Astyanax mexicanus: one gene and its partner. The protein of the gene in region 1 interacts with the protein of each later gene in a pairwise test. Links are inferred from orthologs where the notes say so. Each region holds a gene or a part of one and is shown on either strand. Other genes may lie near its edges.

Evidence for each region.
Region 2: the proteins of mlx (region 1) and mxd1 interact in a two-hybrid assay, tested with the Homo sapiens proteins (2 studies listed by BioGRID and IntAct). The link is inferred for Astyanax mexicanus from reciprocal best matches to the Homo sapiens genes MLX and MXD1.

Annotation. Positions count from the first base shown.
Region 1 is NC_064426.1:23,206,752-23,215,698, reverse strand, and holds the start of mlx (max-like protein X), read left to right. Parts: upstream 1-5,487; 5' UTR 5,488-5,584; coding exon 5,585-5,626; intron 5,627-8,792; coding exon 8,793-8,832; intron 8,833-8,947. Other genes in the region: fmnl1a (formin-like protein 1), read right to left, coding at 1,409-1,573. UniProt on the Homo sapiens protein: Transcription regulator. Forms a sequence-specific DNA-binding protein complex with MAD1, MAD4, MNT, WBSCR14 and MLXIP which recognizes the core sequence 5'-CACGTG-3'. The TCFL4-MAD1, TCFL4-MAD4, TCFL4-WBSCR14 complexes are transcriptional repressors.
Region 2 is NC_064429.1:36,923,246-36,932,439, reverse strand, and holds the start of mxd1 (max dimerization protein 1), read left to right. Parts: upstream 1-5,470; 5' UTR 5,471-6,333; coding exon 6,334-6,400; intron 6,401-8,344; coding exon 8,345-8,444; intron 8,445-9,194. Other genes in the region: snrnp27 (U4/U6.U5 small nuclear ribonucleoprotein 27 kDa protein), read left to right, coding at 1,119-1,173. UniProt on the Homo sapiens protein: Component of a transcriptional repressor complex together with MAX. In complex with MAX binds to the core DNA sequence 5'-CAC[GA]TG-3'. Antagonizes MYC transcriptional activity by competing with MYC for MAX binding.

The DNA of each region.
Region 1 (8,947 bases):
CTTCATCTTTATCTGTACACATCTGGGCTGTATTCCTGCACAGTTTTGTACTTTTCCTGTGTAACCACACCTGATTCATCTCACCCCTTTAATTAGTACGTTTAGAGAGTGCATTAAAGCAGGGAAATCACCCAAAACTACTGAACCCTGGCCATTAAGTCTCCTCTCCCGCTGTTGATTCACTGTGAAAAACCTCGTTAATACACAGCTAATCACCTACTTTCTCTAGACAAGGCCTAACTAGTACCCAAATGGGTCAAATGAGTCCACAGCAAACGAAAGCAAAAGGTATTTAACAAAAAAATCAATTTAAATGCATAAGTTATATAATATGTACTAATATTAAATTACTAATTGCAGATTTATATTGGTTTTTATATTTTTGTCTAATATTCTAAAATAAAATGCTGTAAATGCTATTTGTTTGTAGTGAGATATTTAACATTAGAATAAGATTTGGTTACTTAGTAATTAAACCGCCTGTGGTTTCAGGACATTTACATGATACACAGTACCAGTCAAAACTCTGGACACATCTTCTCATTTAAAGTATTCGGTGAAGAAGTTAGGTGGGCTCTTATCTCTTATGGGATAACTCTTTGTCTTCCTTGTTTTAGGGTGGTCCTGATGAGAGCCACTTTCATCATAACATTTTTGATGTTTTTTGCGACTACACCTAAAGATGCTTTTAAAGTTCTTATACTTTTTGGGATTGACTGACCTTCAACAACAAGGCAATGGCAGATTAGAAATGTTCAAATATCCAAAATAAATAAAACATAAATCAAATAAAAACACTGTTTTAAAACAAAGTCAACACACTGGCTCATTTAGACTAATAGGCTCTGATAAATAAATAAACACAATGGATAAAATTGAAAAAAAAAAAAAAATCAGCAAAAATGAAATAGGTTGTTAATGTAAGTTAGATCCACTGTTTGTTTGTCTGTTTAAAGTGGGTTCTTTAACTTTTGTTATCTGATATTTACTAAACCACCTGTATTTTCAGGAGCTTTATACAGTATTTATCTTATACATGTAGGCATATCTGGGCTATTATTTATCATTTGGTTGTGAGGCCTAAAATATATCTACATATTTTATAAGCGAAATAAGGGACTTAAGATATATTTGCAGGAATCAGGAGTGTATGTGTTTAATGTACTTTTGCACATGGTGAGAATATTTAGTCATGGTTGTACATTGTTCTTTTTGCTCTTCTTGCTTGTTTGATGTGTGTTTGATTGTCGTGTAAAGTTTTACTTCGGTATTAAACTGTCCTATTTGTGTCTTTAATCATTATGTATCCTTTTAAAACAATTAATATTTGATTGTTCTTGTTTACATCTAAACATATGTGGGCGTTCTTTCTTTTTGTTCCATCACTGTTCATGTGTGAATCACTCACCAAAACCACATTGAAGCGCTCCTCTAGTTCCTCCTCGGGGGGCATGGGGAGTTTGGGTGGGGCCGTTTTCTTCTTTATTGTGCCAGGTAAGGGACTGGTCCCACCCAACGAGGCCCGGGCCTCCTGGCCCTCCGGCTGCTCTAGGCCACCTGCCGCATTACCCATCACTACCTTCCGAAAGTATTCCAGGATCCCAACCTCCAGCAAGTGACAATTCCCACAGCAAACGGCTTCTGACCAATCACGGCCAGTCAACTCTTAAAGATCAAATCCAATGCCTTTTTCGAAAGTTTACGAATCTCCACAATGTTCTTTGGTTCGGTCAGGTCCAAAAAAGTGGCTGAAGCATTTCTTTTATGACATGCTGTCAAAAACAGCAAGAGCAGGAGGAAAGATCAAAGGGAAAAAGTAGCAAAAAAACAAAAATAATCAGAATTTTGTAATCTTGTACTCTACCGATAAAAAAAAATAGGGTTTTACCATCAATTTAATGCATAAGAAGCAAAACACACAGTCCTATATTGAGCAATCTCCTGTTCGTTTCAAAATGGAGGGAAAAACACACCAGACACACATATGTATGCAAAAAACACTGTGTCTGGAAAAAAGGGAAGCAGAAATGCCACTTACAATGCTAACATTCACTTTATGAACAATAGCTGTCCTTCAGGCAAAGTGAATCAAGTTTTGAATGCCCTCCAGCTGTTCAGTAACGTTGCTCAGCACTAGGCCTCTGTCTGCTCATCCTCTGGTTGAGAGTGACGCACGCTGAAGCATCTTTCTTCATCCTTTCAGTAACATCCACTGTCTGTCCAACAACACTGAAGTTTATCCTCGAAAAGATAGGAAGTGTGAACGAAGAAGAGAAGAAGACACCTGTCCGAATGTTAAACTTCTAGTGGGCTCTGGTGTGTGTGTGTGTGTGTGTGTCTCCTTGTTTGAAAAAACGTTTAGCGTTTAGTGACAAGGGAGGGTTGAAGTGCAAGAGGAGGAAACCACAGAAAAAAGCAGAAGCAACAGACGCTTCCTGAAAACGATGCGCAAGAGAAACTGAGAGAGAGAGAGAAAAAGAGCAAGAGAAGAGGCTGAAAGCCAGAGCAAGAGAAAGAAAGAGAGAGAAAAAATCGTAATAGATGTGACATAGTACTAACTTCAAGCTGAAAGATAAACTGGTGTTGGTCTTTATTAATTATTAAATATGTGCAAAAGAAGGTTTGGCCTTGTGGAAAAACAAAAGTCATGTTGGCTAGATCTGGCCTTCTACCCACTTTTGACTTACTATATCTCCATAAACTTACCTCAGAATGCCACCGTGTGGTACATACACCATATTACCAAGAGAAGCAGCTCGTCTGTCTTGAGTTTGGTGATGTAAGGCTTGGGTGGAGCGGCTCAGCCATGGAACCCATTCCATGAAGGTCTTCACGCTCTACGCTGTTCTTGGGCTAATCTGACAGCCACATGAAGTTTGAAGGTCTGGAGTGATAGACTCTGCTGTAGAAAGTTGGAGATCCGTTGACTCCTGTCTCTGTTATTTTACATTGGCAGAGCGAGTTGCTTTTGTTCCCAGTTGCTTCCACTTTGTTATAATAGCACAGACAGTTGGCTGTGGAATATTTACTAGTGAGGAAATTTTGTGACTGGACTTGTTTCACAGGTACTGCATCCTATCACAGTAAAACACTGGAATTCACTGATTTCCTGATAGTGCCGCATTCTTTCACTAATGTTTGTAGAAGCAGTCTGCATGCCTAGGCCCTTGGTGTTATACACATGTGGATTTCCACCCTTAGTCTTACGTCAGAATGATAAAATTTGCATAGAACCACTCAGGCACCACCCTTCATACATCAACCCCTACCAGAGCCTCACCCAATAGATCAGTTGAAGATCTGCCACACTGAATGCGTTGGCTACAGGCAAAAGAAAGTCACATGTGGTGTTTTTTGGCTGCCAAGAACAACACATTCTTTTTTCAATGGCCATGTTTCAACAACAATCGCCAAGAAACTTCTGGTGTGTGCAAACCACTTCAAGGCAGACAGCTTTGAGAACCTTGGACAGTACACAGCAAGATTACCCAGCAGACTTTGTCTGAGGGAGGGATCTGTACCTGCTGTCCGTGGCAAGTCAGCAGAGTTTTGTTTCTATCTCAATTATGCATGAACTACCTTGCTCATGTTTTGCTATTTAGCACAAGCTGACATTAACATTACTGCTAGTCCTGCACATGAATTTAGTGAAACTAAGGAGAGATGGCAATGATAACCAAAAATAACAAGTAACAAGTTAATTAAATTAAAAAGCTGACTAACCCTTCAGGAACCACTTGCTGCATTCTTAAAGGTGTTTGTGCAGGTGTAACTTTGATTTTTTTTCCTTTTGTAAACGTCTAGCTTGGGAGTAACCATACAGGATTGTTTCAGATAGTTGCTGTCGGACCAAAATCATGGCTCTCTACAATAGTAAATGCAGCCTTTACCTTTTTTTGCTGATCCATTTGTCAAGTCATTTTGAAGGAGAGCAAGGAAAAGCTGGATTTGAGCAGCAAAAGCCCAACAGCGGCAGCCCAGCAAACAAGGACATTGTACCCACAACCCTGTGATCAATAACACAGTGCTCAAACCACTGAGCCACGCATCTTTTCCACATTAATAAAATATATATCATAAACACAGTTTTGTCAGTCAGTACTTCTGTACAACATCTTCTGTAAATCTGTATGTATAATTTATGTACAAAATAAATCAGCTAGTTTTAGTCTATAACTTTTTCTGTATATTCATGGAAGAAAAAGGACCCCAGGACATAAACACCACTTAAAAGAATGTGTGTTTATGTGGGTGTGCCCCTAAGCTTTCACTGCCTTAGGCAACTGCCCGTATCGACCCTGCCAGTAACCACCGCTGGAGCCGCGAGCGTGTCCAGAATAAGGAAGAATGATGAGAGGAACTGTTCAGACCCCCGTAGTGATAGTGATCTCTTCACCAAACTGCCATTACAGAGACATTTCAAGGCCAGCACCACCCACACAAAATATCACTTCAACATCTCCAGCCTCTTCCCTGGAGCAATCTGGCTTCTGAATGTCACCCCTGTCGCTCCCTACATACATAAATAATGTTTTCCAATGTAGTTCTATTCCAATATGAAAAAGTATAACAAAAGGTAAGTGTATTTATACAGTATTAATATACATTAATATATCAATATGCTCAATGTTTCTTGCTTTTATTTTTGTAAAACTTTATGTACCGTAATTTTTGGTCATTTTAAAGTGGGGTTCTGAGCTTACCGCATCCCGGGTCGGCAGAGTGTGCGGTGCTTCGCAGAGGTATCCAGCTGTTACCAGTTGAGCTTTTATTTTCTTTGTAACTGGTTTTAAAGCAAATTACATTCAACAAACCCCTTTTTTCGCCTATACATTTATATTAGACTTACCAATTAATTTTATGACAAGGATCTTGTGACTACTGTATTATTTTAAACCGTACGTACACCCTAAGAACATATTTTATGTACCGTGAACGCAGCACTGTTCACGGTACGTAACTATATTTGTGTACATGGCCTGTTTAATTAAAAGTGTGGCTCATAGCCATGTGCGGCTTGTAGTCAGGCTAATTATGTGTGGCCTGTATACAAACATTTTTTTTTAATTAGTGGGTGGGGCTTACAGTTGCGCTTAATAGCTCGAAAATTATGATATCTCAAAATGGATGCAGTATGTGGTTTAGCATTGTATTGCTGACATATGCAAGGCTTCCTGAAAGAGACATTGTCAGGAAGTTCTAAAGCCTCTATGTACTGCATACTGTATAAATTCAGCATTGATAGTACCTTTTCAGATGTGTAATTTCCAGAGCTGTCAAAAATATTAATAATTCCCTGAATATTTATGTAAAAGAACTTTGGATAAAACACTGACTTATTTTTCATAGTAATGTCAGAAGTTATTCCATAAAAAAATGTTTTATGTGAAGAGAATTTATGAATATCCAGATTTCCTCCTGCTGTGAGCTCTAAAACCTCTTTACCCTCCTCTGCTGGTGATAGAGGAGTGTGTCCCCGGGTTCTGACTCCTGATCAGCTGAGATCAGCAGCAGCAGACGGCGCTGTTCTCCAGCGCGCTCCCCTCAGCTCCTCATCCCGTGATCTTTCCGTGTTTCTTCCAAAATGACGGAGCCCAGCGCGTCGCCGGAGGATCCCTGGCACAAAGTAAGCAGACAGTTCAGCTGTTTAACTCCTGTAGAAGACAGTCAGGTGCTTTACTGATGTGATAAACCTGAGATTAGAGAATATAAGCGCTGGAATCAACTAACGTTACTTTCACTTTATGATGATCAATAGAAGACTAATAGTAAAGCTGGCTAAACAAAAGAAAACTTGGGGATCTGGCTCCTTTGTGTTTATCTACGTCATATTAGCGTTAGCCAACGTCTTCCCAGACTTATAACATGATTTATAACACTGTAGTAACTTATCAGACTGCGAATGATCACTGATATAACAATGATGTATCTCTATTTGGGATAGAGAATGTCCAGAAACGTCCATAAGTATAAATCCACTCCGGGATTTTGCTCCAACTGCGTGGACGCTGTAGCTGCAAGTAGACCCGCACAGGCTGTTGGAACAAAACCCTGGGATGGATTCGTATTTCTGGACCTGGATTAGCCAACTCTAGTAACAAGCTTAATGTCTTAGCTAGCTAACAAGCTATATTTGTAAATATATATTTCTAAATGATTTTAAATAAGCTCGTTTGTCTATATTGTACATTAAAATATACAACTTAGTACAGTATTGTACAACTAAAATATCCGCCTCATAAACTCTAAAATAACTTAAATAGCTAAATTAGGTAGTTAGTTAGCGTTAGCTAAGACTGTAAGTTAGCCTCTTCTCAAAACTCGGTGTTGTCACCGAGCTCAGCTGACCTACATTGGATTCGGAAACGCTAACTAGCTAAACTAACCTTAGTTTGGATTAGCTAGCTAGGTTAGCTTAGCTAGAAAACTTGTGTAAAAACGACATTCTTTACATATTTTGTAAAGTTTACTGTTAAGTAGCTTAGAAAGGAGAGTTTACTATTGTGTAAAACATGTTTACCTTACAGTGAGCTCTGTTTCACTTTTTAGGGGGTGCTTTGTTTTAGTTTAATACTTAGTGATACTGATATAAATTGTTAAACTAGCATTACTGACAGAAATTGGCTGTATAGCTAGATAGCTAGTTGGATACTTAAAGTGACACTAAGCCATATTTTTTTCATTAATAGATGAAATGTGTTCCTGAAAAGGCACAAAACGTATTAGTTTTGCTTAAATTTTGTATATACATTTCCTAACCAGGTTCAACTGTGCTATAGGCAAGGATGATGTGTCCGTGTACATTGGTATGCAGACACTTACAATATGCAGATAACACCTGTCAATAAATAATAACACCCCCCTGCTGAACTCAAACCATCTGGGTATCAAAGGCACACTGCTGTTGCTGCAGCTTAGCCTGTCAGCTCTCCCTTCTGCACCGCCTCTAAACCCAAACATCACCCAGTGCCATGCCCAAACTACCCCTCCCATTTTTTTTTTACTTTTTCAAGTTTGAAGTCAGCACAAATCTGTGCTTTAATGCGGTTTAATAAAGTGGTTGACTGTTTATCAAGGGATAGATGTGGGCAATATGGATGCACGATACTGGCACATATCTGACATTGCAATATGTTTTTTCTGCAAAATATATATTGTGATACAAATTTTACAAATTTTCACTAGATTTCACCAGGAAAGTCATAGGTCCAAAATAATTATATAAAGTGGTTTATTCTTCACTGTGCTAGAAAAGCTGTAAAGTTGATTGGCAGTTTTAATATTGTCAGATGTTTTTAGACAAATAATGCAATATTGCTCTAATATGCTGATTCTAAGAGCCGGTCAGATTATATTCTTTGTGCAAAGATCCTCTATCACATGATGATTACATTTCTTGGTAAAAAAAAAAAATGTATATGGAAATATAAGGCTTGTACATGGCTGCAGAATCGCATTGTATTGCGCCTCTTGAAGGGAGCAAGGCACACTATGCTGCCATCCTTGGTTGTTTTTTTTAGAGGCTCCCCTACAGACCAAGAGTAAATGTTCTCTGTCACAATGCTATTCCTCTGGTTCCATACCCTAGCCATGCATGATGTGTTGAGCACAATAGACTATTAAACATATCAGAAAAGGGTTTGTACATTGCATGTTTGGGGGAAAAAAAGTCAGAAAAGAGTTTTTTGAGTAGCAAGTGCGACAAGATCTTATACTGGATTCTGATTTTATATATTGTAAAATCCACTTCAAACCAAATTTGTGCCAAATAATGTGCTGTTTAGTAAAGTAAATACACATACCTGGACTAAACGTCACTTATGAAGCAAGCTTGCAAAATAGTTCATAATAATAGACAGGCAATATTAGAATTTTAGCTCTGGCTATTCGGAGAAGACTTGCACATCTATAACTATGGCCCTCTAGCAACTAGCCTGCCTCTTGCTTTTTGCTGAGGATATATGTAGCATTTGCCATAAAGCGAGACTGACTCTTGCAATGCCCAAGATTTTTTTTTCCCCTACAGACCAAAAGGGTGAAAAAGTGAGAAACTTCTTACGCTTCATAATTACCCATGTATTTATCTTAAACAGTATGAAATGCATTGATTAACTGAAAATGTTGCATGGTGTGCCTTTAATACCAGTAACCGGATTCCCCTCCTGAGGTCTTCAATTGGCATCAGCGATCCACCAAACGCATTGAAAGACAATCTGTAATCGGTGTAACCTCCCGTTTTTAGAGTGTATTTCTGCATTGTCTAAAGTCATTGCTGCATCCCTAATAATAATAATGCTATTTTGATAATGATGAAGCATGCTGTTAAAGGTTGATCTTCATCCACAGCTAAAATTGTCACAGTTTATCTTTATAATGCTAAATTATCATAATTTTAACCGAGCCCTATTCACTGGCATTGTAAGTGCAGGTACATTTAAGTGGCATTTCTCATTGTTAGCATTGTAAATGGCATTTATTATTCTCATCATTGCTGAAAGTGCCTTCGCTTTTATGGTTCCAGCGTTTTGTAAAGTAATAAAGCCGTCTCTGCCGGGCGTAGCGGGGTGCTAATGGTTATTTATTGAGGACATATCACAGTAGGGAGTACTGGTGTCCTAGATGCATGATGTGCCAGGTGTATAACTTTTAGTGCTGGCGGGTGGTTTGTATCGGTCTGTCTGTCTGTCTGTGTCTCTCTTTTCTTTACCGTTAAGAGAATTCTGTCATTTTGTCTGAATTAATCCGAGTGTTTATTTTTCCCTCGTCCTGAACTTCACCTCGCCATGGCTCAGCAGACGGACGGCACCTTTAGCGACAATGGCTTTGACCACAGTAAGTACTTAAGCCTGGCTTTAAGTGTGTGTCTATTTAAGCAGCCCTGAAAGGAGTGGTTTTATTAGTTTAGTGTTATTGTAGTAGTTCATTGGTTTTATTATGTCATATGTTT
Region 2 (9,194 bases), on another chromosome or scaffold:
TCCCTGTGCTCTTCCATTTCCTTACTATGTTCCTCACAGTGGAAACTGACAGGTTAAATCTCTGAGACAACTTTTTCTATCCTTCCCCTGAACAACTATGTTGAACAATCTTTGTTTTTAGATCATTTGAGAGTTGTTTTGATGAGCCCATGATGCCACTCTTCAGAGGAGATTCAAATAGGAGAACAACTTGCAATTGGCCACCTTAAATACCTTTTCTCATGATTGGATACACCTGGCTATGAAGTTCAAAGCTCAATGAGGTTACCAAACCAATTTTGTGCTTCAGTAAGTCAGTAAAAAGTAGTTAGGAGTATTCAAATCAATAAAATGATAAGGGTGCCCATACTTTTGCACCAGTCAAATTTTGGTTTAATGCATATTGCACATTTTCTGTTAGTACAATAAACCTCATTTCAATCCTGAAATATTACTGTGTCCATCAGTTATTAGATATATCAAACTGAAATGGCTGTTTCAAACACCCAAATATTTAGAACTAAAAATGAGTAAGATTAATAGGGGTGCCCAAACTTTTTCATATGACTGTAATCCCATTTAAAAACATCTCATTTATATTTGTAAGTATACAAATATATAGTCGCTGAGTCTCATATTTGTAAAATAATATCAAATATCGGAAACACTTTTACATTAAGGATAATTAAATAAGAGTCGTTATGACTTTAATAAATATTGTGAAATTGTTAAGCAAGTTATTTAATAAATTATCTTAAAATATTAATTGACACTAATTAGAAATTATTAATCATTGCTAAATGTTTATGCATTAATGATTGCTGTATATGTATATGCATGTTGATGTACATGCACAGTAAAATCAGCAGCATCTCTCTGAGGATGTGTCTCTGAGATACGAGGTTTGTGCGTGGTCGGGGCGTGGATCAGCTGTATGCCTGTGTTTATGTCTGAGCTCTGCTGTTCTGAGCAGCAGCCCATTGTTTGGTTGCACTGTTAGTAGCAACAGCCTGCTTAAACAGCCAATCAGAGCTGCAGGTGCTGCACAGCTCAGAGACGCGCGCTCCCATTGGCCGGCGATGATGTAATATGTTGGTGCAGAGGGGAGATCAATGATGTAATCATATTTTCTTTTACAGACAGTATATGAACAGGAAAGGTGGATTCAACAGACCGCTGGACTTCATCGCTTAATAAAGTCGTAATCGAGCTTCCTGAGACTTCGCTTTGATCCACTCTGTGTAACTTTGTAACTTTTAGTTTTTGTTTAGTGTTTGTGCTTGCAGTTTTTATTATTATTATTATCATCATTATTTCCTATATTTAGGATTTATTGTTCACATGCCTGTTTTATTTCTTGAAGGGTTTAAAAAGCTTGAACACTGTTGAGTAGTTTCACCTCTATATTGTGTGATTCTGTATTGTGGTTCCCAATATTAATAAAACAAGAAAAAAAACCCACAAAAAACTCTTGTGTTCCTTTTATACAGCTCTGGGGGAAAAAAATACGATTTGGAATATAATCAAGAGGAAGATGGATGATCACAAACCACCAAACTGAACTGCTTGAATTTTTGCACCAGGAGTAAAGCAGCATAAAGTTATCCAAAAGCAGTGTGTAAGACTGGTGGAGGAGGAGAACATGATGCCAAGATGCATGAAAAAAAACTGTGATTAAAAACCAGGGTTATTCCACCAAATATTGATTATTTCTGAACTCTTAAAACTTTATGAATATGAACTTGTTTTCTTTGCATTATTTGAGGTCTGAAAGTTCTGCATCTTTTTTGTTATTTCAGTCATTTCTCATTTTCTGTAAATAAATGCTCTAAATGAGAATATTTTTATTTGGAATTTGGGAGAAATGTTGTCTGTAGTTTATAGAATAAAACAACAATGCTCATTTTACTCAAACATAAACCTATAAATAGCAAAATCAGAGAAACTGGTTTGTGTTCTCTTCACTTTTTCCAGAGCTTCTTGTTTCTAATACAAAAAACATATTTTTTTTGCTATAAACTGCCTTAGATTAACTAAAAACTGAAAAAAAACATATTGTTTAAAAAAGAGGGGGTGATTTTTAGCAAACGGTTCATGGTTTAACAGTTTATAGCTGGTCTGTAGCATATATGTATTGGATATATGTAAAGGATTTTATATTATTCCAAGTAGTAAAGCAGTGGTGGAACAGATGGTGTTACTGCTGTTACTCTCTACAGCAGCAACATTTACATACTTACACACTTACAGCACATTCACACTTTCATCATCATTATATCTAGAAAAAGACACAGAAACACAGAGAACTCTGTAACTATTAAAAGTTATTTTCTTTAGAGAAATTAGTGATACAACCTTCAAAAGACTCTTGGAAACTGGAGAAAGCTGCTACAGGAAGACGTCTGGCTGACCCACATGGAAACAGCAGCTTTTAGACTTTAGCTCAGATTAACATGATTAAGGACTGAGTCTCAGTTTCAGCAGAGAAGAGAAGAATTAGAATTAGGGTTAATCTGACAGGAGAAGAAGAACTGCAGTAATAAAAAGAACTGCAGCTACTGGACTATTAAACAATTGGTGTGTTCTAAAACTTTTGACCGATAGTATATTTATAAATTATATAAAAGTATTGCATGAAGATATTAAAGTGTTTGTGCAACACGTTATATTCATATGTAGTAAATAGACTAATTTATTAAGTGTAATGCCCTCTTAAAACACTCTTAATCTCTGTATTAACTAATAATAAATTATCCTAATTCTCCACTAATAATATTTATTCTTATTTATTAAAATTATTAACTGATTAAATATTATTATAAGGGAAAAGCAGCTCGGAGGTGAATTTCTGCAGAACAGCATGTGCTAGGGGCGTGGCTTCAGGGGGTGTCTCATTTCAACCAATCACAAGCAAGGTTTTCTAGGGTTGGTGCTTTTTGATCAATCACTGCAATGGAGTTCTGTGGGTGTTGCCTTTTCTGGCCAATCAGGAGCGACCATATATCTCGGCGAGGAGGCGACCGACCAATAGGCGCAGGACAACAAAGCACTCTTTTTAGTTTTTGTGTAATTTTTTGTATATTTTTAACTGGATTTATTTATAATGCTTTTTGTAGCATTTTTGCGCTATTTTTATTTACGTATTATATTTACGTACATTTTTTTTACAACGAGTCTGAGAAAAAAATGGCAACCATGGCAACCAATAGGAATCCACTTCCTGTTCCGGATTCTCCAGTGTTCTGTCAGTTTGTGCTCTCTTGACAAAACGTGCTACCATCGTGTATATTTATAGAACATATTTTCAAAAGACAAAAGCACCATATTAGAAATACAAATACAGTTAAAATAAAAAAACTATGTAAAACATTATGTATGTGAATACATACATACATATATTTGTGTCTGTTTTCCTTTATGTATTTGTTGCAGCATGTAATAATTCATATTTGAATAGGTATTGACTGATTTCTAATATAAAATGCATATATAGAAGTAATTGATGCAACAACAACAAGAACGACTACAAAAAAAAAGAAAAATGTATAATTTAGTATTTTTGTATGCTTTTAAATGCAATTGTAAATACATATTGTATGAAACCCCCTTTTCAAAAATTTTAAAAACACAAATAACACAGTGGAGAGTCCAAATATGTTTGAGGAATACACCACATAAATATCATAAATCAATAATAAATAATTATTAATTAATACGTTAACTAAATAAGAGATTGAGAGAGAATAGCACTAATATATGGAAGCCCATTTCCGCCACCTGAAGAAAAAAAAACGTCCTCAACTAAGTCATAATTATGAGATAGAAAAGTCATAATTATGGGATAGTAAGTCATAATTATGAGATAGAAAGTCATAATTATGAGATACTAAGTCATAATTATGAGATAGAAAGTCATAATTATGAGATAGAAAGTCATAATTATGAGATGACTTTTTATCTCATAAATATGAGATAGTAAGTCATAATTATGAGATAAAAATCATCTCATAATTATGACTTTCTATCTCATAATTATGACTTTTTTATCTCATAATTATGACTTACTATCTCATAATTATGACTTACTATCTCATAATTATGACTTACTATCCCATAATTATGACTTTTCTATCTCATAATTATGACTTACTATCTCATAATTATGACTTTTTTATCTCATAATTATGACTTAGTTTCTCATAATTATGACTTACTATCTCATAATTATGACTTTCTATCTCATAAATATGCCTTCTATCCCATAATTATGACTTTTCTATCTCATAATTATGACTTAGTTGAGGACGTTTTTTTTTCTTCAGGTGGCGGAAATGGGCTTCCATACTAATACTTAACAGCAAAAATCAACATTAAAAAAAAACCTTTTTAAAGAATGTGTGCGTGTCCGCGCATGCGCAGTATCGGTAGGAAGCACTTTTGGACGGGTAGCACAACTCGACAGAACACCGTCTTCTGGCTTTGTCGGATAATGCCTGGTTATTTTACCTAGATAAATATGTTTACGTGCAGCTGAACAGCGCTAAAACGTTTATTTATATAGCTAACGAATACCATCAGAATTAGTTAGTTGGCTAAAACAAGCTTAATGTTATCTGTCAACTTTATTCTTATTATTCGTATTATTTTGACAACTGTATTGCTGTTTTTAGTGCATGTGGTCTGTTATATATATATATATATATATTTTTTTTTTATGCATTGCAAACCACAGCGTTAACCAGGAATCCATTGCTACCCATATACAATGGTTTCTAACGTGAACGTCCTGCGATTTTTAAAAATGTATTTATTATTTATCTGTCTTTTTTAGATGTCTTTTGACTGTTATATGCAGTGTATTATTGCAACTTAGAAATACTCAGTAAAAGCATTTCAGTAGCTTACGTTTTGCATTTTATTCTATTTGTATTTATTTATTTATTTATCTACATTTATATATACATATATATTGATTATGTATCTTTATCTAAAATATCTATACTATATATCGTCTCTAAATGATAAAATATTACAGTTCATTTCATCTGTTTACGTATTTTATTTTTTCATTTTGCATTACACTAACGTTTATATTTTTTATTTAATTATTATTAAATTTAATGTCTAATTTATACAACGTAAAAATACAATTTATTCTATCTTGTTACGTTTTTTATTATTTTTTTTTTACACTAACGTTAATATTTGTATTTAATTATTACTTCTATTTAATGTATTATTCATACAAGGTAAAAATGCAGTATATTCTATCTGGTTACGTATTTTATTTACGTTATTTTCTATTTTTTTACACCGAGACACGATTAAAAAATAGGTGACAAAAAAAACTGACAGCCGCTTCAGCCAATAGCAACCCGCCTTCCTCCTCCAACGCCGTGAACTCACGCCCCACAGCCGTACCGACCAATCAGAACGCAGTCCTCTCCGACACCGCGCCAGCTCGACCAATCGGAGCGCGGCCTGCTGTGAGGTGCGTGTATTGTGGCTGTAGCTCTGGTCGGGCAGCAGGAGCAGGAGGCAGAATCCAGCAGCTCTGTGCTTTAAAGCACTATTTATTTAACCTAAAAACAGCGTTTAAAAGCTAAAACCGCTGGATTTAAGCTAAAACTAAGCGTTTATTCGCTTTTTACCTTTAATCTGCTGAAGAACTGGTCTGTCAGCGTTGTTTTGGCTTTGAGTTCATGCTTTAAGAAGTGCCTGTGCTGCACTGTATTCTTATTTTTCGTGTTTTAAGGAGATTTTAACGTGTTTTTTTTGCACTAATCCAGCATATATGCTTTATATATAAGCAGGATTCCCTTTATAAAGAAGATATACAGGAGCTAGCTGGCTGGCTCTGTAGCAGCAACAAGAAAAGGGACGTGTTTTTCCATATTCTGATTTTATTTTTAGATTTTTTGGACGTTTTATAGTGGGATTCAGGCTGTAAAATCACTGTTTTGGAGAGTTGGACTGTTTTTTTCTTTGGGAACACTTTTTTTTGGACGTTTTGCACTACATTAAAGGAGGCACATCTACATTTTCTTTCATTTTCCTGCCTTTTTCCAACAGAAAACCATAAAAAAAATCAATTTATCAATTTTTTTAATCAATTTTATTTCTTGTATTTGTATTTCTGCAGCTTCTGCTCCTAAGAAAGCTGGAATATCTTTTGTTTTTATCCAGCAGAACTGCAGCCCACACGAAGAACACAAGAAAAACAACAGCTAGACTCTGCTTTTTTATTATTTTTTAACATTTTTTAAGGACACAATCTGACCTGGAGTGTCACACAGCTCTATATACATCATATATACATTTTTATCATTTTTAATTCCTGTGTTATTGTTGAAAATGGCTGCCATTGGTTTGGTGCAGATGTTGATCGAAGCTGCTGAGTATCTGGATCGAAGGGAAAGAGGTGAGTGATTAATAAATAATAATAATAATTAAAAATAGAAAAATGCATGCAAAATTATCGTAATCTTACTCTATAGCTATATTTAAAGTAATTTTTAGACCATACTACCATCAACATCATCATTATCAACATCAACACCAGCAGTATTAATATACACAGTATATTTTACACACACAGACCTATATAACCTATATAATGTACCTTCTGTAATAAATGCATGTATACAAAATATATCATATGTATAAAATGAAAATCTCTTTCCTATACAGCTTTTTTATATAAGAATACTAAAAAAACACACATGATAGCTACTCTATATCATATTATAAGATAAAACTTTTGTTACTACTGAAATTATTTTACTGGAAAAATAAAATTTGGCAAAAAAAAACAAATTTAGTTTAAGGCTATTTAATTTGTGTGTTTGTTAAAATATGAATGAATGAATGAATGAATGAATAAGCGAAAACCAGCCATAAACAGGGTTTGTAATAAATATGTCATAATTTATATACATACTAAATAATAATATAATATTTTTTAGGTTATTTAATCTGTGTATTGGTAAAAAGAAAAAAAAAACATGGCAAATTTAATTAAAAAAAACAAAAAAATTATTTTAAATAGGTATTCAGTATTCACATCAGAATTCTGTAAAAACAGATTAATAATATCTATAAAAATATATGTTTTGTTGCTTTTTAAATTAGATTAATTTAATGTTCTTTAATGTTTTAAAGGAGAGCTTTTTTTAATGTAGTGAATAAACACTAGTCTAGCTCCATATTCCACACTCTACAACAGCAGAGAGAGGGAGGAGCCTAAACTTCAGAAAACTGTAAATAAAAAGTAATCTACCTTCTGAACTCAACATTTGCGAATTCGGTTTGGTTTGGCCTATTTTTTGATTTTGTTCAGTTTTAGATCTTTTTTTTTATTTGGTGCAAGTTTAGTAAATTTGAAATAAATTATGATAACTTATAAAAGATAAAGGTAATTATTATATTATATTATAAATGCATGTATCTCCTAGTAAATCCTAGTAGTTCTAATTTTTCTTTCATTTTTAAAAACTCACTTATTAAAATGGTATTAAAACAGTTTTTAGGCCTAAAATCATGACCATTAATAACGACAGTATAAAGCAAAGGTTTTAACTACGTTGATAACAGTTTTGATTTTATTGGATTATATAATAAACCTATAGAGCTATAGCTTTAATTTTAGCATTTTATTTTTTAACAATCAATTTCTTGTGCTTATGATTCCATTAAATCAGTTATAATACAAATTCACATGCACGTGCAAAATCCAGCTCTTTATTTATAAACCACTTTAGCTGTGAGAGATTAGCCGTAGGCTAGGCTAGCACTGTAGAGCACTGGATTTATAAATAAGCATGCATGGCCACTGTGCATCCAGTCAGTATTTTCCTTTTTTAAAGGGTAAATTTAGATTATACAGCTTCCAAAAGGCTTTTTTATACGTGTGCATGCTTCAGTGCATATATACAGTGTATATCCTGCATGCATATGTGCTGTATTTGTGCAGCAGGGCTTTTTTATTGGGATTAAAATGGGTTTTTCAGTGCAGCTGTTTGTTCCTGATGGAGGCTTTCCTAGCGCATCCCCCCTCCCCTCGCACTGTTGTGGTTTCTCCGGCTGGCTGCTGGGTTTACTCCAGTTCAGATGACATCATTGACCCAAAAGCCGTAGATTTGCTGGAAATACGGCGAATTTGAGCAAATTAAAGCAGAAATAGACCTTGAAATGTGGCTGTTTTCATCCAAGTGCATCGAGAAACTCTAGCATCACTAATTGCAATGCATTAATATTGCGTAATTGCACGTTTGCACGATTGCATGACTGTCATCCATCATCTAAACGAGTGTACAGCGCTAACGTATTGCATTTTCCTCTGATTTCTTGTTTTTTTTTATCGCAGAAGCCGAGCATGGGTACGCCTCAATGTTACCATTCACCAGCCATAAAGACCGGGACGGGTCCAAGCGGAAAAATAAAAGCAAGAAAAACTGCAGCAGCAGGTAAATGACCTAGTTTCCGCCGCATCTGGGGCTTTGCGTAAAAAAAAAAACGTATAAAGTGGTCATGCATAATTAGGCACATTTATTATTCACGTATAACAGCCCACGTGATTTTTCATTTTTTATGTTGTGCCGCTATATTTGTGACAGAATTCCTGGCTTTTGCAGAGAAAAATGGAAAAAATATGGCTTAAATTAGCTTTAGCATCATTAGAAGAAGTCGATGAAGGTGGCGTTCATAGATATCTTGTGTTGTCTGAAAGTTGAAATGAATTTGCAGCTTTTCACTGATGGAACAGGCACTAATTAGTTAGCCGAGTCAATAAGCTAACACTTTAGAAGTAGCTCTGTGCATTTACACACCCTAAAAAAAAACCTGTTTTAACGTTTTCATGTGTTGAGTTTTTCGTGATGATTCTCTTTTTCTCTAGTGCATTATTAAAAAAAATAGTTTTTTGCAAGGCAACAGTTTGTTAGCTGGGTTGCTAAGCTAAGCTAAGCTATGCAAAGCTAATCCTCTAGAAGGGATTCTAGCCAAGTAAAACTCTTACATCCCCCGAAACAATCAAAAACTGAAAGTTAAAGTGAATAAGATTCTACTGGTGGAACTGGCACTGATTAGTTAGCTGGATAACTAAGCTAAGCTATGCAAAGCTAATTGTCTAGAAGGGATTCTAGCTAACCAAGAAGAGCACCCGGCTAAACACACGCATCCCCCAAAATAATTAAAGGTGAAAGTTAAAATGTATA